2 linked regions of the Notamacropus eugenii genome follow. The protein of the gene in region 1 purifies or fractionates together with the protein of each later gene. This does not show direct contact. Links are inferred from orthologs where the notes say so. Each region holds a gene or a part of one and is shown on either strand. Other genes may lie near its edges. The genes, in order: HNRNPR and ILF2.

Region 1 (11,540 bases):
TTCAAATTCCTTTGCCATGCATTCAAGTCTTTTGTTTTACAGAAATGGTACCTGAAGCCCTGGAAGATTATCTGTCCGTAGTCATACACAGAGTGAACTTGAACCAGAGCCAAAACTAAAACCCATGACTTCCAACTGCCTCCAGAATAAAATATAAACTCCTTAGCCTAGATTTTAAGGGCCTCCCAAAGCTGCCTCCAAAGTGCCTTAGTGGCTACCTTTCACATTCTTCCCTTTCATGAACTCTATATTTTTGATAATTGGATAATTCAATGATGCCTTAACTCTACATTCCTGTCTCTGGTCTCTACATTCACAAAGGCCTTCCCCACACCTGGAATTTCTATCTCAGGATTCTTACCTTCCTGCCAGACTCAGTTGGCAGTAGGTGCCCTTGATGTCTCTGTGAAGCATTTTCTGGTTCCCCCAGTAGTTAGTGTTCTCTCTCTTGCCTCAGTTTATTTTGTATTAGACTTACTTTTGTACATGTATCCCTCTTGCAAAATACAAGTTTCTTGACTTAACTTATAGTGATGTAGCTTTCTCCTTAATAAACCCATTTTTCATCCATTTATATTTTTTTGTATATTGTCTTATCAACCATACTCAAGTATCAGTCCCTTGGGGGATGAGATTGTATTTTATTTATATTTGATATTAAATTCAACAAAAACCTTTTACTAAGATCCCATGTCGTGCACAGGCACTGTGCCAGGTGCTAGGGCATAGCTCATAATCTAATGCATATGTAGAACAAATATGATAATAGCTCTCATTGGTATGTCATTTTACATACATTATCTCATTTGAGCCTCAAAACTCTGCTGTGAGGTGGATGCTGTTATTATTCTCATGTTACAAATAAGATAACTTAAATGACTTGTCCCACTGAATTAATTTTAAAGAATTAAATGACTTGACATGGTTAGTGTCAGAGATGGAAAATGAACCCAATTTTCTTGACCCCAAGTTCAGCACTCTACCCACTATGCCAAGATGCCTCTCCTACAAAGCTGTGGCAAAGTGGAGAGAGCACTGCACTTGGTCACCAAGACCTGAGTTCAAGTCTTGCCTCAGATACTAGCTGTGTGACCTTGGGAAAGTCACTTAACCTTGGTTTGCCTCAGTTTTCTCAAGTATAAAATAGGGATAAAAATAGCACCTACCTGTTGTAAGGATCAAATGAGATACTATTTGTAAAGCACTTAGCACAGTACTTGGCACATAGTAGGTACTATACAAATGCTAGGTATTATTATTATTAAAGTAAGATGTGACTAGGGCAAAGAAGAAACCCAGAAAAAGTACTCTCTTGTAACTAACATGTATACCTGAAGACCTAGCACAGGACTCTACACAGGGTAGGGAGACAATAATTACTTGTTGAATGAATGAATCTATTCAGCATAGTGCTAAATATGCAGTAGATACCTAAGAAACACTTAAAGACAAACTTGGTTGTGTTCTCATGGTAACTTGATCCTGAAATGCCTTTGGAAATGAAGACTAGCTTGATCAAGATCACCTTTCACCTACATGTATTGAATTACAAATGGAAGAGAGAAATCAGGTCAGGATTCATCAGACACCACTAGATTCTAAGATCCTTGAGGTCAGAGACTTAATCACCTTTTTATGTTTGGCTCCGTGCTGAAACAGATTTTGGCAAGTAATAGCATTCAGTTATTGAACAAGTGTTTATTAAATGCCCATATATAAGGCTGTGAAAAAGCATTGATTTCAACTTTACATCCTTACATGCCACCAAGACATGAAAAAAATAGATTTAGGGTAAATGGGAGTTTGTCTTCTTTGTGTACTCAAGATGGAAAGAATTGCACAAGATTTTCTTTAATCAAAACTCTTATCTATCTATGGTATTTTGCACCTATCCCATCTACTTTATAATAAAGTTCATGGACTCTATGTAGCCATCAAATACACCCGCAGATAATAAAGAAAATTTACATACATTTACATTGAGCTATCACTATAAGACCAAAGAAGGTAGTTTAAGCATTTCAATCACTCTGAGGGATGGTAATTATGAGAATAAATGGACAGATGTGAGAAACAAAATCTAATTCTGGTTTTGAAAGTGGTCATTTTAAATTTTCCTATACCCCCCCATCATGGTCTCCTTGGCAAAGATCTTGGAATAGTTTGCCAGTTACTCCTCGAGCTCATTTTACAGATGAGGAAATGGATGCAAACAAGGTTAAGTGACTTGTTCAGGGTCACACAGCTAAGTGTCTAGGGGAAGATTTGAACTAAGAGAGATGAGTCTTCCTGACTCCAGGCCCAGCATCTATCCACTTTGCCACCTACCTGCCCTTGTAGTCTACCTTTGATCATATGAAGGATTCCCTTATTCCTCCTTACTTTTTCTTGATAATATCCTAACCCCTCAGACTTGACATAACTATGTTTATACATCTTTAACCGCTTTTTTTTTCTTTTTGGCTGAAACCTGGCATTTCACAGGTATAGAGAATTCCACCAATGCAGATCTGCAACTTGTCATTTCATTTTAGAGTACTTCCTGGGGCCACTAAATGAATTGGCTTCCCTAGCATTACACAGCTAGTAGGTGTCAAAAGGACTTGAATCCAAATCTTCTCCACTAGAAAACCAGCTCTCTCTACTCAACTAACCCTGCTACCTCTCAATGGACTCCCTATTCTACTTCATAGCTATTTTTTGTTGGAGTTTTACCCTCACCTACCTTACTGAACACTAGGAGGGCAGAGACTGTCCTATCTAAACTTGGCATCTCTCCATCCTTTCCTAGGGCTCTTTACATTGTGATCACTACATTTTTTGAATGAATACTTATTTGCATATTTTCAGTAAAGTCCTTGAAGGCATAACAGATTGTATCAGTTTTCATCTTTGACTTTTCATAATGCTCAGCTTCAGAGCAGGGAATTTAATTGTTCCTTCAACAGGTATTTAATTCTGTGCACATCATATTTTTTGCTCCAAGTCAAGGACTAGGTGAGTTTTTCACCAGTGCCTAGCTGGCAAGATCTGGCACATCACCATTAATAAAGGTTGACTCTTGTACCCTTGGGTATATTGTATCCTCAAAGTAGACTGCAGGGTCCTCGAGGGTAGAGGGCTGTCAGTTTTCACTCTTGATCCCAACGCCCAGAATTAATAGTCCTTAACAAGCCAATGCCTACACTGCTCTCTGGACCCGGTCCTCTTCAATGCCAGTGCCTTCCCTTCGTTGATTTTCTCCATTTTACTAGACTAGAGCTTGTTTGTAGTTTTTCACACGCTGTCTCCCCAACGAAGAGTGGGAGCTCCTTGAGAGCAGGGACTCTCAGTGCTTAGCACGTAGTAGGCTGGCACATAGTAGGCGCTTAATGTGCATCTGCAGGTGTGGGGCCGGGCCCACTCCTGCCCTCTCTGCATCTCCAGCTCTTGGCCAGGCACACGGCTCCCTTCATCAGCGTAGACGGAAATAGCCCGATGATCGAGGGCTCCAGGGTTCTCACTGGCAACCACAGACCCGAGGCCAGTAGTGGGCCTTACATCACGCACCAGGTCCCTCTCCGCCAACGTTGGCTGAAGCGGTCAAGAATTTAAAGCAAGCGCGCGGTCCGAGGGCCTGGCAAGTCCGGCCTCCGGGCCAGCCAGGCCTCAGGTCGGACCAAAAGGGGATGGGGGAGGTCAGGGGAGTCGGTCCCGTTCTGACCGGGCGAGACAAGTTTCAGGGAGTCCACGGCACTCACTTCCGCCAAGAGCGACCGGCCGGACACCCGAGGCCCTCAACAGGACGTGCTCCGCACGCACCAGAGAGCCCAGCTCTGGCCGGCCTCAGCGCACCCTTTGTGTGCCTCCCTCCGCCCCCGGCTCCTAGTCCGGCGCCGCTGAGCTCTCCCATTGGCTACGCGGAGGCCTCCGTTGATTGGCTCTCTGTTCGTCCCGGCTCGTTGCCCCCAGCTCAGAATTCGGTTTCTATAGGTCGCCGCAACCGCTGCTCGGGCCTCCCCTAGTGCTGATTGGTTGTGTCGGCGAGCCGAGTCCCTGGAAGCAGTTCCGGGAAACCCCGCGTGCTGCCGGGATCTCGCCGCCCGTTCCATGAGGAGGAGGAGGCGGAGGAGGCGGCGGAGGCGGCGGCCCTGGGGGGGGGAAAAGGCGGGGGGAGACAGAGAGGGGGTGGCGCGCGCGCCATTTCTAGTCGTTTTCAAAGAGCCTCGCGCTCGTTCTCACGGGCCCCCATCGCCGGCGCCCGCTTTGCCCTGGTGAGTCTCGCGCCCGCCCGTGGGGGGAGGGGCCGGCCGCCCCGATTCGGCCGGGCCCGGACCCCGCGCCACGTCCCCGCTCTGGAGGGGGCCGCCGGGCGGGCCGGTGCGAGCGGGGGAGGGGGGAGGAGAAGGAAGGAGGCGAAGGGAGGAGGGGGGGCGCCTCTGGGCCCGCGCGGCTTCGGGCCTAGGCCGGCCGGCCTGGCACCGCCGCCCCCGCAGCGTGCTCCGCTCGGGCCCGCGGGCCGCGCCTTTCCCGCCTCCGAGAAAGGCCCCGCCATGCGTGCCGGGAGGTGGGGGGGGGGGGCCGGAGGCCGGGTCGGGCCTCGCCGCCTGCGCCTCGGGGGAAAGGGAGGCCCCCCCTAACGTGCCCCCTCCCCCCACGTGAGGCTGGCGCCCTCCCTCCCGCCTTCCATCCTTCCCCAGCGGGCTGAGAGGTGGTGGTGGTGGTCCGGGGAGTGAGAGTAAGTACCCCCCCACGTGGTGCCCAGGTCAGGCCTCTCCCCCTGCCGGCCTGCAGGCTGAAGCGCTGGGTCGTTCACGTGAACGTTAAAAACAACCCGGCAAAATGGGGGGGGGGTAGCACATTTATCCCCCCAGTTTAAATGGCCTTCGTGCCCCGCCCCAGAAGAAACACTCCCCCCAAAAAACCCTCTCACTTGATCGTGTTTACTATGGCCGGAAGTTTGCTCCGGCTGGGCGGTAGTTTGTCAATTAGCCTAATAGGATTAGCTCTGGAGCCTGGGGCTCGGAGGAGAGGGAGGCTTTTCTGGTGGATTCCCCGAGACCTGTTTCTGTAAAGCTGCATTTCTGGTAAAGTTGGAGTCCACTTTTTTCACAGTAAAGACGCTCCCTCCCCTTTCTTTCCTTTCCTCCCCTCCCCCTGCGCCCCTCCCCCTTCAGTATCTGCTTATTGGAGGCATGCTGAGTACATCTGGTACTAATAGTATTCATGACTTTTTTTTTCCATCTTGTGCTTAATAGGCAACCTGTCTTATGCTTTACCCATACTTTGATGATGATATTTCTTAACAGAAATGTTCACATCTGTTAAGAGTTTGCTTCCATTCTGTGACTGCAAAATGTTGCTTTGCTGCGAAGGTCTCGTGATGTTGTGTTTAACTTTGGAGTTTTGAAGAATTCCTAGCTGTATTTGGGGGTGGGGTGGGAGAGGGATGACCATTGAGGAGATGCAGCCGTGTGTAGGAGGACGGTTTGATTTAAAAAGGTGCATCTGCCCATTTTTCGTGCTAAACAGTAGTCTTGAGTGTGTTAGCTTTTAGCTAGTTCATCAGATAGTGTTTTGAGGCCTGCATTGAAAAGCATGTACCCACGTAAATAAAAAGAGTTCCACAGCAAAGGATGCGTCTGCCTGTACACAGCCTGTACCTATCACCAGACAATCAGATCTTTAATGATGTTCTTTGACCATAAGATAGCTTTAGCTCTTTCAGAGTAATCCTTCTATGCTTAATGTCCTTATTTCCTCCTTTCTCCCTTTTTCTCCCCAACTCCACCTCTGGTCTGTTCTATCTTCTCACATTATCTTCAACTGGATTTCAGTGGTCTTTGAAAGAAATTAAGTTGTTTCAAGTGGGACAATTGCTCCTGGTGCTTTCCCATAATGTCTGGTAGGATCTCTAGTAGTGTGGCTAAGCAAGCACTTTTTGGGAGACTTGTATTTTCTTGATAGCCGAGGTATCTTGAGTTTTCTTCAAAAACCAGGCTTATTCTTGATATCCACCTTCGTATCCTTTATTTCAGTATATGTTGCAATGTCTTTCTTCTGCTGCATATTATCTTCATCAAGTTGTCATTTCACCACAGACAAATGCACCTTTAACTCTTAACTGCTTTTGTGAGGCAGGTACCTTTTCATCCATGCGGGTCTTGTAGAGCTCTCCATTTAAACTCTCTTCCCCAGGTAGTTGGTCCATTTCAGTAGTACGTGAGTGGTGGGATATACAGAATGATTGCTGGCTGGTTTACTGAGAAATCTGACCTAAGTTCAACCTTAATTAGGCACCATTGATTGGAACTCTTGGAAAGAAGTTAGCTTGAATATGTATTTTTGCAGCCTTACCAAATTGATTGATATGGAAAATTCAATATATTGTACTTGGGTTTCCTTTTTTTAAAAAGTAACCTCCAAAAGTAGCTCATTTTAAGTATGGATTAAATTTTTTTTCTCATAAATTTGTACATGGGAAGAACAAAATTAATTTTGTTAGTGATCTCAATGTGATCTTAGTGAGTGCAGGATGGAAAACCACCCCCAGATACCACCAGCATGCTCAACAGGGTTACACTTCTGTCACACCTGCATTGGAATGGAAGCATGGCATGGCAGAGAGCCAGGGATTTTTGAAAATTCTCAAACCTTGAGTGTTTGGTCTGTTTAAAAACAAGATGTAATTGAGTTTATGTAAGAATGGGAGCTGCAGAGCTTTTTAGACATTTATAGTGGTGACTTGTTCATCAAAGAAAGTGTTTCTTTTTGATGACATGATCACTGGGACGTAACAGCTGCTTTGCTAATCAGATACTTTCCCTCTGATCAGAAAGTTTGAGACCTATGACCACCATGGTGTACATGAAGTACCTTAAAACCTTACTGCTTCCATGTACATTTCCATTGTTTTCCTGGATGATTTTATTGCAAATTTAGGTCAGCTACCTCACAGGCATTAAATATGATTTTGATAGAGTATTAGCAGCATGTATACAAGTTAGTTTAGATAAGTCATTCTTTGTCCTGCAAACTAGTTATTTCTGGCTTAATGTAATATAGCTCCTGAATTTTTTCCAGCAGCATAATAAAATGGCTAATCAGGTGAATGGTAATGCGGTACAGTTAAAAGAAGAGGAAGAACCAATGGACACTTCCAGTGTAACTCACACAGAGCACTACAAGACACTGATAGAGGCAGGCCTCCCACAGAAGGTGGCAGAGAGACTTGATGAAATATTTCAGACAGGTATAATATGCATTTCTTGTTTCTGACCGGTTATGAAAGTGAGGGCAAACCACTTTGAATTGTATAGCTTTTTAAGGTTAAATAATACTACTGTTTCTGATCTGTCCTGTAGAGCTGAATGTGTGACTTTCTGTCACTGAAGGCAAATTGGGTTTGACTTTGACACTGACTCTTATTTCATGATTTTGAAGCCTTCTTAGTGTTGAATATGCAGTCTTAGTTGCTTCAGACCAGTACATCAATTTGTCTTAGATTTATCACAAGAAAAATGTATTCCAGCATACTAAATTTTACATTTTTTTCTCAATCCAAATCAGTCATCATTTTGCTTTTACTTTTCTACTTTTAGCTTCTTAATGTGACTCTTAAATCAGTTTAGCTCTGAACTAGGTGGCATAGTGAGGAATAGTTAGGATGCATTATTGCCTGAAACTATAATAAATGTCATATTATGTGAGTTTTGTGGCCTGTCTAGTTTTCATTGGACAGTAATCCACATCTCTCAGCATCTCATGGAAGTGTTTGGTTTGCAATAGTTGGCTGTTTTTTATCCCAGGGTTAAGTGCTTAGAAAATCTGAATATCTTAAATAAGGTTTTGGTTGTAAGTGGTTTCAGGTTTTAAACTGGGAGATATGTTTACCCTTAGGGAATCTTGTTCATAAATAAATATATCCTCCCCCTTTGACGACTTAAATGGACGGAAACCTTCCTTTTTGAGCTTTTGGTGATCTGCAGTCAGCTTCTGAGAAAGAATTGAATTGTATTATAAATGTTTCTTAAGTACTGTAAGTCGTAAAATAACTTTCTGTCCTTTTTTTTTTTAAGAAAAAAAGGAGATAAATGTTAGACATTAAAAATAGTTTCCTTAAATGTCTCCTGGGTAAGGTATCCATTTGGAAATCACTCCTAGGAAGCTTTTTGTGCATTTCTGCCATTGGAAACAGGCAGTGATCTGCTTAAAGTTACCCTCTTGGAAGAGTCTTGGTTAGTAAGGATGCTTAGTAAGGAAGGATACTTGGTTAGTAAGGAAGCTCATGCTTTGGGCATAGGCATTGTTGGACCAGAGGGAAAGGTCTGATGGGCCTCTGGGACTGTGGTGTTTGGGTGGTGCTGTGGCATTTTTCATGTAAGGAACTGCAGACTTATTTAGACATGCTCATTTGGGGACATTTTAAATTATGACAGTGCATTTAATTTTCTTACATCAGTAACTGCAAGTGGCATTACATTTATTAAATTTTTTATTTCAGTCTAAAATGAAATTTTGTTTGGTGGGCTTTGCTAATGTGGAGTCACTTTAAAAAAAAGTGCTGTTTCCATTTCCTAACAGTTTACTTCACAGGCTCATGCATAACAGTTGTTATAATAAATTCAGATTAAATTAAAAGAGCTGTATTTTATTCCTTAGTAGATGCTCTATATACTGTTTAACAGTTCATGTTTAGAGTACTGGGAAGAATTTTTTTTTAAATACATTTTCTAGTAAGTCTATGGCCATAAAATTAATTTTAGTTCATTTGAAAAATGTCATTGTTGATATTTAGCGTTCTGATTGCCACAGCATCCCTTAAATCTCAACACATCACGAAGAAACTTAAGAAGCTGCTAAAAAATGGCCTTCTTTACTTTTTCCCATGCTATACCTACAAATGTTAATTTTATAAGGCTTACAGAAGAGTGATATTATATCTTTCCACATTTGATTGCAGCAAAGTGTGTCTGTACACTCAAACAATTTTCAGTCTCTCTGTCCCTAAGAAGGAGAAAGCTTTTGCTACTCTTTGGGGCTAGAGTTGCTTAGTAATAGGTGACTTTCTCCCCCCAGTTGCTTGGGTGACTCTTTATACTTGAATGAAGATTGCAAAACTCCCCAAGTCCATAGTTTGGAGGAGATAGATCCTTGGGGAAGATAGTAACGTTCATGTATTACTTAGAAATGTGGACCAGAATTGATCACTTGAAGCCTCAGTCTGTTGCACAATGTGCACAGCAGATTTAACTCCTTCCAGGGCTTTTGAAACTCCAGTGTTTATTTTTGGAGGGGGGAGGGTAGGGTTTGTATTTATGTGTTTTTTGGCAGAGGTGGGATTGGGGGGGAACGTGGGAAGCAATTTCAGTTTCATAGTAAAAGTATTTTATTTTTAAGTATTTACATTTTCATGTTCTTTCATACAGTGTTTGTATAGTTGCGTGTAGTTAAGAATAAGATAATTTATTAGTGATAAAATTGAATATGACTTCATAATTAAAAGTTAATAAGACAGGTTCATCAATTTGTGTCCCCTCTAGCTTTTTGAACAGTAACATTACCATTTTTCAATTTGAATTTTTAGGGTTGGTAGCTTATGTCGATCTTGATGAAAGAGCAATTGATGCTCTCAGAGAATTTAATGAAGAAGGCGCCCTCTCAGTGCTCCAACAGTTTAAGGAAAGTGACCTGTCTCATGTACAGGTAAGATCAAGAGTCAGAAGAGGGGCTGAGTGAGTGAACTAAAGTAGAGTTTGCTGGTTGAGTTCCATGATGCCTGGCCTGGTATGCTGGACTCTAAGGTGCTTTTGTAAACCTGAAGTTGGTGTACTGCTAAAAGTTGAGTCTCAAAAGCCACATTGAAAACAGAAGCTTGTCAGCCATTCATTTTATATGACTGATGTCCTCAGGAGATGTTACCAGGGATACAGGGAGCAGACTGTCCATAATATTTGGGCTAGACTGCTGCATTACCATGGGGGAAAGTATTCAGAACAGCAGATGATAAACTAAAAGTCATGAAAGGCCTATTTGGTTCTCCCTAATGTTTAAATATCTGGAGATATGGAATCATTTATTCATTTGTTGATACAACAAATTTGTTGGCAACTCCAAATGGTTTTTATTTTGTAGAACAAAAGTGCATTTTTATGTGGAGTTATGAAGACCTACAGGCAAAGGGAGAAACAAGGGAGCAAGGTACAAGAATCCACAAAGGGACCTGATGAAGCAAAGATTAAGGTAAAGCAAACTGGAGTTTGTAGAATTAATGAGATTAATTAATGTTGTTTTCCAGAATGGTGTTTTTATACCCCTAGCAAATATTTCAAATATTAAGCAGATTTTTCATAAAAGGTAAGGGTTTCTGTTGAGCTGTTCTTTCTCCCTCTCCCCATTGTTTAGAGGTATTGTGGTAGAGTGGCAAGGACCCTAGATTTGGAGTCAGGAAGAGACAAATTCTGTTTTAGACTCTTGCGGTCTCTGGCGTCTCCAGGCTTCAGTTAGCTCATATTCAAAATTTAGGTGTTGACTGTGGTACCTACTTCACAGGGTGGTTGTGAGAAACAGATGAGATAATATATTATGTTTGTTTTAGCATAGCATGCTGGAAAGGGCACTACATAAATCCCTAGACTTAAACTCTAAGCCTCAGTGTCCCCATCTGCCAATTGTGAAGGATGGTAGTATTAATAAACCATAATCTGATATTTACATAGCCAAACACCTTTACATATAGCCCTGTGAGATAAATAGTGCAGGTATTATTATCCACATTTGACAAAGAAAGAGTGCAGGGTCATGAAGTTAAGAAATGTCTGAGATGGGCTCAGACTAACTCAGTCTTCTCTTGAGTTCAAGTTCAGCATTCTGTTCCTTGTGCTGTATTCCCACTGTCAGGCCTGCTGTGTTTGCCTCCTGGTGGTTGTGGAGCTCAAATGAGATTCTGTGTACGTGGTCAGAAACTGGAGAGCACTGTGCAAATGTCAGACTTGTCAACATTATATACTTGAATTTGTGTAGGGCCTTTCTCAAAGAGTTTGTGTTTCTGTTTCTTTGGATTTTTTCCATTTGTCTTGAAGTTCTCCAGTCACTCTTCTTCCTTTTGACTTTCCATATGCCTTTATGATTAAAAAGAGGCCCTGAAAGATGAAACGCAAGGTTAGGGCTAATTGGTGAATGGACCTTTTATGTTAACCCAGTTTTCTTGATTGGCCATTTGCCTTAAAATTGTGAGCAGAAAACAGAGGCCAGCCACTTTGCTGGAATGATAGAACTTTAAAGAAGTCTGGAAATGTCTTACATTGTACTTTATTTATGGAGGTTGAATTTTGGTAGTGAGGTAGGAACAGCATTGGATTTGGAGTTAGGAAGGTTGGGTTCTAGTTTCTTTTAGCAGCTTTTATTTTTTTTAAGTCTTAGGACTTAATCTCTGCCTCAGTTTTATCATTGGGAAATGGAATAACACCATCCCTTTTCCTTCCTCATAGGACTATTAGGTTAAAATATGGTGTATTAGAAAGGGAATAGAATTTAGATTCAAAACCAAGGCTTGAAGTATG
Region 2 (11,540 bases), on another chromosome or scaffold:
AAGCAAAAAGAAGGATAAGCCTCCAGCATAGCATCATACAATGATAGGTAGGTTCTAACCAGGACTTTGGGGTACCCACCTGGAAGGCCTTTCGGGCAATGGCATCATACCTATCCCCCTGCTGCCATGGCCTTCCAGAGATAGGGCTACGCCCATCCTGCAGGCTCTTTCCGAAGACATCAAGGTAAAAGAAAATATAGTCTCCCTCGGTCATCCCTGCTTCCTGGGCCAGAAGCATCAGGTCTCTGAATGTGTTGGGAGAACTGCAGATATAGATGACTGTGGAAGAGGACAAGAAGGAGTCAGATGAGCAGGAGATAAGAATTTAATGGAAAAGTTTGGGGCTGAAGGAGGGGAGAGATGGGGTTAATAAGGGCCAAGAAAGAGATTCCTTTATTTTAGAGACCTGTCCTCCAGCCCCGAGGTGAGCAGTACCTCCAGGTTCAGCTTGGGCTATGGCAGGGGAAGGAGGACTGAAGAAAGACTGAGATGAAGACAATAGGAACTCTTTGACCTCCCCACTACTAAAGTAACAAAAGAAAAGGTGGGAAGGAGAAAGTGGAAATTGGAAAAGGAAAGAGAAAATTGAACCCAAGGGGAGAAGGGGGAGATAACCAGAAAGGACAGAGGGTCCAGGGAGTATAGGAAGAGAGGAAGGCTGGGTGAAAAAAAGAAAGAAAAGGGAAATGAGGAAAAGAGGGAGAGGGAGACCATAGGTGTGAGATGGACAAACTCAAGGAAGGAAGTAGAAAAGAAGACAGAAGAAATAATTCACACAGAGGACAGGAAAGATGGGGAAATGGGAAAGCAGGGGAAGAATGAGGAGTGGAAAATGGGAGGAAGTAGGGAAGAAAGAGCCGGAGAAACAGGAGCAGAACAGAAAAAGCAAAGTAAGAAAGCGGGGTGAGGAGGGCGAAGAAGGGACAGGAGAAGGGCAGGAGCCAGTGGCGGCACACTCTGGTTGGGAGACGAAGGCCCGTCTGGGTCTGGAGCTTGAGGGATCCTGAGGGTGTAGGAGTGGTGAGGTACCGGTCAAAGCCGGCCTCCCTTTCCCGAAGGGGCTCCTCCCATGGGGTCTCAGAGTACCCCCTTACTTCTGCCCTTTTGTTGCACGTCGCGCAGAAGTGCGCTATAGAGCTCCAGGTCACCCTCGGCAAACTGCAGGTAGTCCACGGTAATGTTGAGTCGAGCCCGGAGCCGAACGTACAGCCCTTCGATGGCAAAGAAGCAGGGCCGGTCGTCCCCGACTGGGGGACGGTCGTTGTAGAGCAGGAGTGTGCGGCGCTCCCAGCCCAGCTGCTGGTGCAGCGTGGCCACGAAGTCCCCGATCTTGACATGGCTCGGACCGGTGCGGGTGGTCAGGGCGTACTCATCCTTGGAGCCGAAGCCCAGCGCGGACGCCCCGGCGGTCAGCATTGGCACGTTCCAGTGCGCGGTAAAGCGGCCCACAGGCGCGGCGGAATACACGCACCCTGGTCCCAGAAACGCAGCCGGGTGGTATTCCACTTTGAGGTCCACCGCAACCAAGGGTGCCCAGCTGTCGGAGCACACCCCTTGGGGGTTCTCGCTGCTGCCCAGCTGGTACACCGCGGTCCAGCCCGGCAGCAGGTCCGACCGTTCGTTCATCCTCTTCAATGCCATCTCCACGGCCGGTCCCACGCGTGACCACGACCACGGGTACGTGGTGTTGGTCACTGGTAGGACCACGGCCACTGTCAGGTTCTTCGCCTGGCACCCCCGGAGGACGAACTGGACGAGGAAGGGGAGGAGGACGCCCGAGGGGCACTTTGGGGCGCGCATTGCCTCAGCTGGAGAGAACAGGGCAGAGAGAGCGCCCAACCACGTCCCCTCCCCTCTCCACGCTACCTCTTCCCTCTCAGTGAAGCATCGAGTCCATCTCCGGGGAGCGGGGAAGGGAGACTCCTGGGCCCCGGGTGTCCCCTCAGTCTGGGTGAGAGACAAGAGGAATTCGAAGGGGTGAGAATGAGCAGAAGGGGCAGACAGTGCTAGCGTGCCAGGGAATGAGCGTGTCTCAGAGGGAGGTTGCAGGAGGGCAGGTGGGTGAGAGGGAGAGTGGAAGAGTGCGTGCGTGCGTGCGTGTGTGTGTGTGTGTGTGTGTGTGTCTATGCTAGTGAGAGAAGTGGGAGAGATAAGAAAGGAGGGGAAAAGGGAAGGAGGAGGGGTGTGAGTGTGCGCGCTCTTGTCTGTGATCTAAGGGTGCCACTGAGGGCAGAGGGGTTGTCCAGCCAAACTCTCCGTCTGCCTTAGGGGGACTGGGAAGGACCTGGAGCCCTCCCTTCTTCCCTCTCCGACTCAATGGCAAAAGAACCAATTCCTGATCTTTAACTCCTTCCTCTCCGGAATCTGGCTGCCTCTATCTTCCTACCTCCCCGCCTTCTTCGAAGTCCCTCTAACCACTCCTACTTCTGTCTCCCCTTCCTCCCTTGGGGATCTGGTACGGGTGAGAAAGCCTTTCTAGAGGACGGGAAGTTTGTTGAGGAGGTGTTTGTTGTGTGCATGTGCCTGTGTGCTCTAACAGCTGTGTCCTCTTCCTCCTTCCCTTCCTCTTATCTTTCCCCTTCCACCTTGTAACATCTGGTGAGAGAAGCATTTGCTTACTTGAGAATCTGCTAGAATAAAATTGGAGGCGGGGGGTGGGCTAGATTTATGGGAATGATGAGTTGGAGTATGGGAAAAGGGAAAGAGGGTGAGAATTGAGCTGGGAATCAGGAGTCCAGGCTCTCCATCTGTACGCGATTTCCCCTCCAGGACTGAGCCACGGAGATGCATCACATAATTTTAGATTGTAGAGCAGCAAGGGGCCTCAGAAGCCGTCAATTCCAACAGTTGAGGAAACTGAGCCCCAGAGACGTGAAAAGACTTGCCCAAGGAACAAAGTGAGAATTTTTAGGTCGCTCGGGTTCCTAGGCTGGAGGAGAGAGATGAAGACATAGCACCCAGGACTGATGGGCACAGATCCCGCAATGTGGGAGCTTTGGTGAAGACTATTCCACGAGGGGGTCTTTGGAGGTTTCCTCCCTTCTCCGGCTGATGAAGCAAAGCTTTGGATCCTATCCCAACTCCTAGAAGATATGGCCCGAGGGCTAGCGACCGCCCGTCGGGGTTTGGGAGCCTTTGGTGGAAGAGCGAGAAGGAGGCAGGGTGGGGTGTGGGGTGTGCGACGTGACTCAGGGACTGGAGGGAGCTCAGCCTGGACTACTCGATGCAGTCCCGACAACTGTGGAGTCATTCTGCCACCCAGTGGTCAGTAGTCATCTCTGATGTTGCCGGTTCCAGCCTGGCAGGTCATCAAGAACAAATTTCCCCCGAGGTGCCCCAGGCCAGCTTCCGTTAATCATCATCATCATCATCATCATCATCATCATCATCATCATCATCATCATCATCGTCATCGTCATCATCATCACCATCACCACCACATCAACCACAACAGTAGCAGTTCTATAACCCTTTAAAGGTTTGCAAAGAACTTCACAAATATTAGTTCATATTATCTCATTTGAGCCTTATAACCACCCTGAGAGGTGAATGCTATTATTATATCCATTTTACAGATGTGGGAACTGAGATGAAAAGAAGTGAAGGTCAGATTAATTATTAATTACCCGAGGCTAATAATGAGACAATTTCTCATTCCTTTCTTTCCCCCCCTCCACTCCCCAGTTTCCCATCTCCAGCAGCTTGCCGGGCACTTCCATCTGGATGTCCCATAGACATTTCAAAGTTGATCTATTCAAATCAGAACTCGTTTTCTTTCCCCTAAACCCTCTTTTCCTTATAACTTCCCTTTTTCTGTTAAGGGCATCACCCAGGTTCACAATCTTGACTCTCCACTTTCTCTTGCGTAATCAGTTTTGTAGATTTCATTAGCGTGTCTTTTGCCTGTCTCCTTCCGTCCACTCACATGGTTAGCTCCCTCATTTCCTCTCATCGGAACTATTTCAAGAGCTTCTTAACTGGTGTCTCTGCATGCAGGCAACCTCCCTCCTCCACAATCCGTCCTCCACACAGCTGCCAAATGGTTATTAGCCAAACCCAGTTGTGAAGAAACTTCAATGGCTCCCGTTACCTCTGAGATAAAACACCAACTTTTCTGCTTGTCGTTTAAGGCCTCTTACAAGCTGACTCCAACCCAGCTGGCCGGGCTTCTGAAGCTTTACTTTCCCTGTTGTCGCCCCCTCCCATCCAACAGCGTTATTTATTTGCTTTATAAATGTCACCTCAAGCTCTCTCCCTTTAAGGTTCAGTTAAGAGCTGCCTCGTCCAAGAAGCCATTCCTGAATGCCCCAGTTGTTATTCCTCCACTATTATTACTTTGCATTTGTTAAAGAATATTTGTATTTACTTATTTGTAAGTAAATTAAGTCTCTTACTAAATTAAGTCAAGTAAGTCTCCCCTCAATCCCCTCCCCCCCAAGTCTCCCACCTCGTAGAGTATAAGTTGTTGAGGTCAGGGACGGCTTCATTTTTGTTTTCATATCATATCCTCAACTAGTGCAGTGCTTGGCACGCAGTAGGTGCTTAATAAATGCTAGTTAAAATGAATTCTTTGCTCAGCCTATTCGACACCTTCGTTTATTCCTGTTGCTTCAGTTTCCCTTCGAATCTTCCATTTCTTCACAATTTGCCTTGAGATTCCACTTTTTTTCTGTTTAAATCCTGAAACTTCTGGGACTCAGTCTTCCCCCTTTTTTATCTCTGGTTTTCATTTTCCTCTGCTTCTAATTCTCATACTCACGCGTATTAAATTCGGGCAAACAACGTATGTTACAATTTATGTTTGAAATTATCCCTTTTCTTCTAGCAAAGTAGCGCTGGTTGAATAAGGTGAATGGAAAAATTTGTGGTTGGAATCGAAAAGTGTTGTTAGCAGAGGATGGTTTCGATCCATCGACCTCTGGGTTATGGGCCCAGCACGCTTCCGCTGCGCCACTCTGCTAGCTATCGCCAGCCTTGGCTAAATCCTATATAAAGAATGTAGAACTTGTCTGGCGTGTGCGTCAATACTACGTGAGCCTTTCCGCAGCGCCTCCTGTCGAACGTTCTACATACAAGTAGCTCCAGTCGCTGCTTTTCGTTAGGTCGCTTCTCATTGGCTGTTTTCCAGTACCGCAGGCTCTCCCAATGGCTGATAATTCTGTTCGACCGAGGAGACCAATGGGTGTGGATGACGGCATGACGCAGCAGCCAATAGTGACTGGTCTTATTGGAACGTGCCGGCAAGCGGCCTCTCCGGTTGTTGGCTTCTCAGAGGAAGGGGCGGTTGGCGGGGCCTCCATTGTTCAAGACTGTGGGAACCATGAGGTGAGGTGCCGCGGGGCTCCAGGGGAGACCTGGAGCGGGGGATGAGGACCAAGGCCGGAGGCAGTGAGGCCAGAGCACCAGGCAGCTGGAGGGACCGGGTGTCCAGGAGTTGGCTGAATCCCAAGATCCCTTAGGCCGAGTGGGGGAGGGATGACTCCAGTATTTTGTGGGAGGGGGTGGAGAAATCCAGGGGAGCTCCTACCTCATCTCGGGGGACAGGGAAGGCAGAGAGCCTGGAGTCCTTGCCTCCGGTGACACTTCTTACCTGGAAGCCTGTCCTGAGTTCTTCGCGTTCATTCTGTCTGTCTCTTCAAGTTACCTTGTACGGCAGTAATAGAAATTGAGATCTCATTTAAGCTAAATGTAAAAGAGTTGGGAATAAACCTACCATAACGCAGAATACTTACGTACAGATTCAGTTACAGCCTGCTCAGAGACAGAAAGCACAACTCAGATAGCTGGAGGGACATTCAGTGCTCATGGATGGGCCCTGCCAATGTAACAAAAATACGACCAAAGTGAATTTACAGATTTAATTCTGTACCAGTCAAGCTATCTGTGCCCCCATTCACTGTGAAGCGAATGTAAGTTCCTTGAGGGCCAGAGATGCCTCCATCCTCAGCACCTAGACCCGGAGCAGGGAAATTCTTGCACCCACGATTTCCTTTCTGTGGTAGGGAATTCCCAATAAGGCATTTCCCCTGCTAATGCAGGATGCCACCTATTAGTTTTAGAGTTGCCTAGGGCAGTGAAGAAGGTGAGTTCCATAGGCTACTGGGTTACCCAACCAGTATGTATCTCAGGCAGGACTTGGATCCAGGTCATTCTACCATCTTTATTTACTTAGGCTAGGTACCTCTGCATTAATAAATGTTTTTTGAGCAGTGTAATGCAGAATTATTACATATACCACCAGATGCTGGGGTTGTGTTGATCAAGTTTGTATAACTTTTCTCTTTTAATTTTCTCTTAATGCTGTCCGGGATAGGGGAAGCAGGAGGGATGTATTCAGTAATAAGCATGATGTAAAAACAAAAGATATCAATAAAAAAGATTTTTGAAAATAAATTCTTGTGGAGTTGAATGTTTGAGAGGTTGGGTAAGCAGTTCCCATTGAATTAAGTTGAATCGTAACAGGGGGAAAAAGAAACTGGGTGGGAAAAGGTTTGGATCAACCTATGGTGAGGATGTTATTGGTTTCTTCACTCTGTGTAACAACTGCTTGTCTTATTTATAGGGGTGATAGAGGCCGTGGTCGTGGAGGGCGCTTTGGCTCCAGGGGAGGACCAGGAGGAGGGTTAGTACCACCTTTGAGTGCCAGATGGGGTGTATGTCTTCCACCACCTGATTATTTTTTTAGTCCAAGGCCTCTTGCAATAGAGGATTTGGAGTGGGTAAATATTGCTTGCTTTTTATGAGGCCGTATTCTGGCTGAGACAGCTCTTCCCATGTGCTCTTTCTTGACATCTCATGTTTATCCCCTTTTCTGTACTCATTCAGATTGCCTCTATCCAGGTCCTTACCACATCTTCCCCAGATGATTTTAATAGCCTCATAATTGGTATCCCCACTTCTGGTCTCTTTACTTTGTCATCTGCAGCTTCCATATTGATATTCCTAATTTACAGATCTGACCATGTGACTCCCCTATCCAAAAATCTTTAATATCTCCATGTGCCGCTAGGATAAAATGCAAATTCTGCTTTGGTATTTAAAGCCCTCCACAATCTGGTTGTCTCTAGGCTTTCCTATCTTATTTCATAATACTCCTTTTTACTCTCTCCCTTTTCTACTCCAGTTAGCCTGCTAGCCATTCACTATATATAACACTTCATTTCCTGCCTCTGTGCCTTTGCACAGGTGGTTTCCTATGTCTGGAATGTTCTCTCTTTTTACCTCTACTTCTTAGAATCCCTAACTTCTTTCAGAGTTAAATTCAAGGGCTACTTTTTTGGGTCTTTCCTGATCCCTGTTTCTTCCTCTCTCTAGTTGTTAATATCTTCTCCCTTCTTTATATAATTTTTGATTTTACTTGAGTACATGTTGTCATTCTTTTCCCCAACTCCCCTTCTCTGGTGAGACTATAAGATATATGAAGGTGGGGATGGTTTAGCAAGTACCTACTATGGTATCTTGCACATGTGCTTAATATTTGCTGAATTGTTCCTTCAGTGAGTTGATTTTTGCTTCCATTCCCGCCATGCGGAGAGAGATAACCTCAGATGACTTTGCCACCAGTTTAGAGCAGTAGTTGTTTACAAAGGTCTCTGATAACTACAGAGATGTTAGCTCATTAACTACATTTGTATGATAATACATATCCTGGAAACTTCAAACTAATGTAGGTGGGTGGGTGTGAAGCTAGTATAAATTTTTAATATCTCCTACTAAGTCTTCACACAATGTTACCAATGCTCTGAGCATTTAATGTTTAATCTTATCACAATAAGGTTGTGTAGGTGGACAGTGCTAGATGCCACATAGAAATTAAGAATCTTAAGTTCTGTATTCCTAACACTTGCTCTTTATTTTTTAACAATCTGCAGAATTTGGTATTTATTCAAGTGTGGATATGATAACATGTCATGATAAAGGAATAGACTTAACTTTTACTGAGTAGCAAAAATGAATCTTTTTCTTATTTAAACCTTACTGATGCCTTCTTTACTTTACATATGCTTTCTTTTTGTAGTTGTATCAGAAAGTCTAGTCCTCCTGGTTAGGGGAAATGACTTTCTTTTCTTTCTTTTTTTTTTAAGGTTCAGGCCATTCGTGCCACACATTCCATTTGATTTCTATGTGGTGAGTTTGGTACTTTGATTGAACTTGGGTCTTCCACTTTTGCTATTATAATTGTAGGGGCAGGGCCATGGTCCTCTGATGTATAGTCACAAATTCATTTGAATAAATATGGTTTTTTGGGAAGGGTTTTGAGGTCCACTTTTATTTCTTTTCACACAGAAAGAGGCTATGCAGGGTGAGAAGATGTAACTTTGGTTGTTATTGGCAGAAATTCATGATACTGTCACTTTTGTTTTTGACTTTCTGGATACCTTAAGTTTTCTTTTCCTTGATAAGATGTCATGATATTTTGGAAGAGACAGTTGTTGACTTTGTATAAAATATTACTATAGAATTTTACTGCCTTTATGGCTTTTGTATGTCTGGTAGAATATAACTCCTCAGGATTTTTGTCGCGTATAGTTTGTATCTCTGTAGCAATTATTGTGATTCTTATTATCATTTCAACTCCTTTCTGGTTCAGTGTGAAATGGCATTTCCCCGAGTCAAACCTGCACCTGATGAAACCACTTTCAGTGAGGCATTGCTAAAGAGGAATCAGGACCTTGCTCCCAACTCTGCTGAACAGGTTTGTTCTATGGATATTCTCGATGTTTTCCCCTGATAGTTTACGATGAATAGCTGAAGATGGTGTTGGGAGTAGTTGCAGAGACTTACACTTGGTTGTTCCTCAACTTTCTCATTTTGGGTGGAAGAAGGTATTGAGAAGAAGTGAATTTGATTTTCCTGAAGCATAGGTCCAACTATATCTCTTCCCTACTCAGTAGTAACTCTGTTGCCTCTAGAATCAAATATAAGTTCTGTTTAGCCTTTAAAATACTTCAGAATGTGGCCCCAACCCATCTTATTTACCTTAATTGTACATTACTCTTTTTACACTCTATAGTCCAGCCAAACTGAAATTGCTATACCTTCTATAACAATTGAATCTTGATCCAGACCCCAAAGTAACAAGTTTTTATTAAGTCTTGATACCTGGTATTGTCACTCATAATGTTTAGTTCAGTTGTTCAGGTGCTGTTGACACCCTTTTGGTGATTTTTTTTAACCTTGGGCTTTTATATTTCATGTTAATTTTCAGGCATCCATCCTTTCTCTGGTAACAAAAATCAACAATGTGATTGACAACCTGATTGTGGCTCCAGGAACCTTTGAGGTGGTAAGTTTTTGTTGACTGAGTCTCAGGAGGAAGATAGCCTTACATCTGTAATAGTTTCCTTGGGCCTCTTTTCACTTTATAGCTAGTTTTTATATAGGGTTTTACATATGTTACTTCATTTGATCACAGCAATAATAGGTGATATTATTCCCTCTTTACAGATAAGGAAATTAAGGCCAAGATAGCTTAAAGTGATTTGCCCAGGTTCACATAGCTAGTAAATGTCTGAGGTAGGATTTAAGTCAGGTTTTCCTGATTTCAAGTCCTACACAATTCATTTATACCACCTAACTGCCTCTAAGGAAAATACAGTGGAATTTCTTTAATGTTCTTGGTGTTGATTACCATAGTTTTTATTTGTAATGTGGATGTGTTTTTTGCTTTTAAGATAGCATATCTTAATCTTGCTAATAGTAGGTTATGTAATACGTATAACATAATACTATGTAAAAAAAAAAAAAGACTGAAATTAGAACTTTTTTTCTCTCTATACTTTTGTGATTTCAACAGCTTTTTTCTGTTGATGTTAACTCCTCTCCCCTTTTCAACAGCAAATTGAAGAGGTCCGGCAAGTAGGATCTTACAAGAAAGGGACGATGACCACAGGGCATAATGTGGCTGATCTGGTAGTGATCCTGAAAATCCTGCCAACATGTGGGTGACAAGCTTTCTTGGTCCTGGGAGCCAGCTCGGGCTGGGTTTGAGGCATTGGGGGTTTAAGGTCCAAATTGCCAGGAGAGATAATTTGAGGAAAGAGAGAGACCTGGGGAGGTGGAGGGGGAAAAAGGAAGTTGTGATTAATTTGGAGATAGATTTAGGGTATCAGAAATGTTGTAAAGTTACTAACTGAAAAAAAAGAGCTTGGACGTAAAAATGATAATGGAATTTGGGAAATGTAATTGTGTATGGATGGGGGATGAAGGCTGGAATGTTTTGAGCTGTGAATTTATTGCTTTTCTTTTCAGGACTAGAATTTTCTGCAATGTTAGATAATTCTTGCAATATTACAAAGATAAATCCTTGTTTTCTAGGCATGGTACATAAGTAGAGTGCTAGGTGATCTGTAGAAATAACAGGTAGTGGTATTAGAGGGGTATTTATTTTCTACTTTCTTTTGTCTAGTGGAAGCTGTTGCAGCCTTGGGGAACAAAGTGGTAGAAAGTCTTAGAGCACAGGATCCTGCAGAAGGTTTGGCTTTATTATATAATATATATTGAATTCTTATTGGTGCTGAGTACTGTATGGAATGCATGTACGGATCATTCAGATTGGGCAAACAAAACCATCAGTAAGGGATGGCTGTTTCTCAGAGGCTGTGAAAATTGATTCCCTGGCCCAACCAACTTTAAGCTCTTTGTTCTAAGTTCTTGTTCTGAACTCTACCACAGAATTACTTGAAAAGATGATTTTTTTTTCCATCCCCAGGCTCCTCTCCTCCAATACCTTGCCCATGTGATAGACTGTTTCATTTGTTTTGTTTCTTCAGTTTTGACTATGCTGACCAATGAAACTGGCTTTGAAATCAGTTCTGCTGATGCCACAGTGAAGATTCTCATTACAACAGTGCCACCTAATCTTCGAAAGCTGGACCCAGAACTACATTGTAAGTCAAGCTCCTCCTTGGCCAGGGAATTTTGTGACCTAGAAGCATTGGGTACAAGTGAGCTTGCTGTTTGCTGTTCAGCATGCTCAATACTATGTTCTCTTTAATTGGTGTTTGACTCATCCTGTGACTGAAGAAGTCACTAGATTTCTTACATGACTTGTAAATCCTGAATAAGTATACCTACCCCCTGGGGAGATTTTAGAAGTGAGAATTTCTATGAGAGTGGTTTGAAGGCTGAATAGGAAAAGTAATAAAGTAAATTTGTGGAAAACTTTATACTTTAGAGTGTACAGTAGCCATCTTGCTCCCAAGGTTGAGAAATCAAGGTGTGAGCACTGAGATGCCTTTTTTTTTTCCCAGTGACTTAAGTTTTGTGACAGTGAATTAGGTTGCTTACAGGACAGTGTTTATTTAAGATGTCAGCCTGATATTTCTTTTTCTTTTCCAGTGGACATCAAGGTTCTGCAGAGTGCTTTGGCGGCCATTCGGCATGCTCGTTGGTTTGAAGAGAATGCTTCTCAGTCTACGTAAGTCACCCAGTCAATGAGGTCACCTCAATTCTTTTGTCATTTCTGTATCAGCAGTGACACAGGGGATGGTAGAGATCCCTCACATTGACTCATTTTCTCCCCAGTTCTTCTCTAGGCA

What was found.
Region 2: the proteins of HNRNPR (region 1) and ILF2 purify together in Homo sapiens (affinity purification with mass spectrometry; 3 studies listed by BioGRID and IntAct, counting the BioPlex papers as one, with this or other methods). This does not show direct contact. The link is inferred for Notamacropus eugenii from reciprocal best matches to the Homo sapiens genes HNRNPR and ILF2.

What each region holds. Positions count from the first base shown.
Region 1 is NC_092876.1:63,736,059-63,747,598, reverse strand, and holds the start of HNRNPR (heterogeneous nuclear ribonucleoprotein R), read left to right. Parts: upstream 1-4,018; 5' UTR 4,019-4,253; intron 4,254-4,665; exon of another isoform or gene 4,666-4,717; intron 4,718-7,062; exon of another isoform or gene 7,063-7,065; 5' UTR 7,066-7,074; coding exon 7,075-7,231; intron 7,232-9,565; coding exon 9,566-9,684; intron 9,685-10,113; coding exon 10,114-10,221; intron 10,222-11,540. UniProt on the Homo sapiens protein: Component of ribonucleosomes, which are complexes of at least 20 other different heterogeneous nuclear ribonucleoproteins (hnRNP). hnRNP play an important role in processing of precursor mRNA in the nucleus.
Region 2 is NC_092873.1:377,645,436-377,656,975, reverse strand, and holds the start of ILF2 (interleukin enhancer-binding factor 2), read left to right. Parts: upstream 1-5,217; 5' UTR 5,218-5,320; coding exon 5,321-5,325; intron 5,326-6,562; coding exon 6,563-6,622; intron 6,623-8,084; coding exon 8,085-8,127; intron 8,128-8,590; coding exon 8,591-8,695; intron 8,696-9,208; coding exon 9,209-9,286; intron 9,287-9,837; coding exon 9,838-9,940; intron 9,941-10,408; coding exon 10,409-10,474; intron 10,475-10,772; coding exon 10,773-10,889; intron 10,890-11,340; coding exon 11,341-11,419; intron 11,420-11,540. Other genes in the region: NPR1 (atrial natriuretic peptide receptor 1), read right to left, coding at 80-279, 1,095-1,800. UniProt on the Homo sapiens protein: Chromatin-interacting protein that forms a stable heterodimer with interleukin enhancer-binding factor 3/ILF3 and plays a role in several biological processes including transcription, innate immunity or cell growth.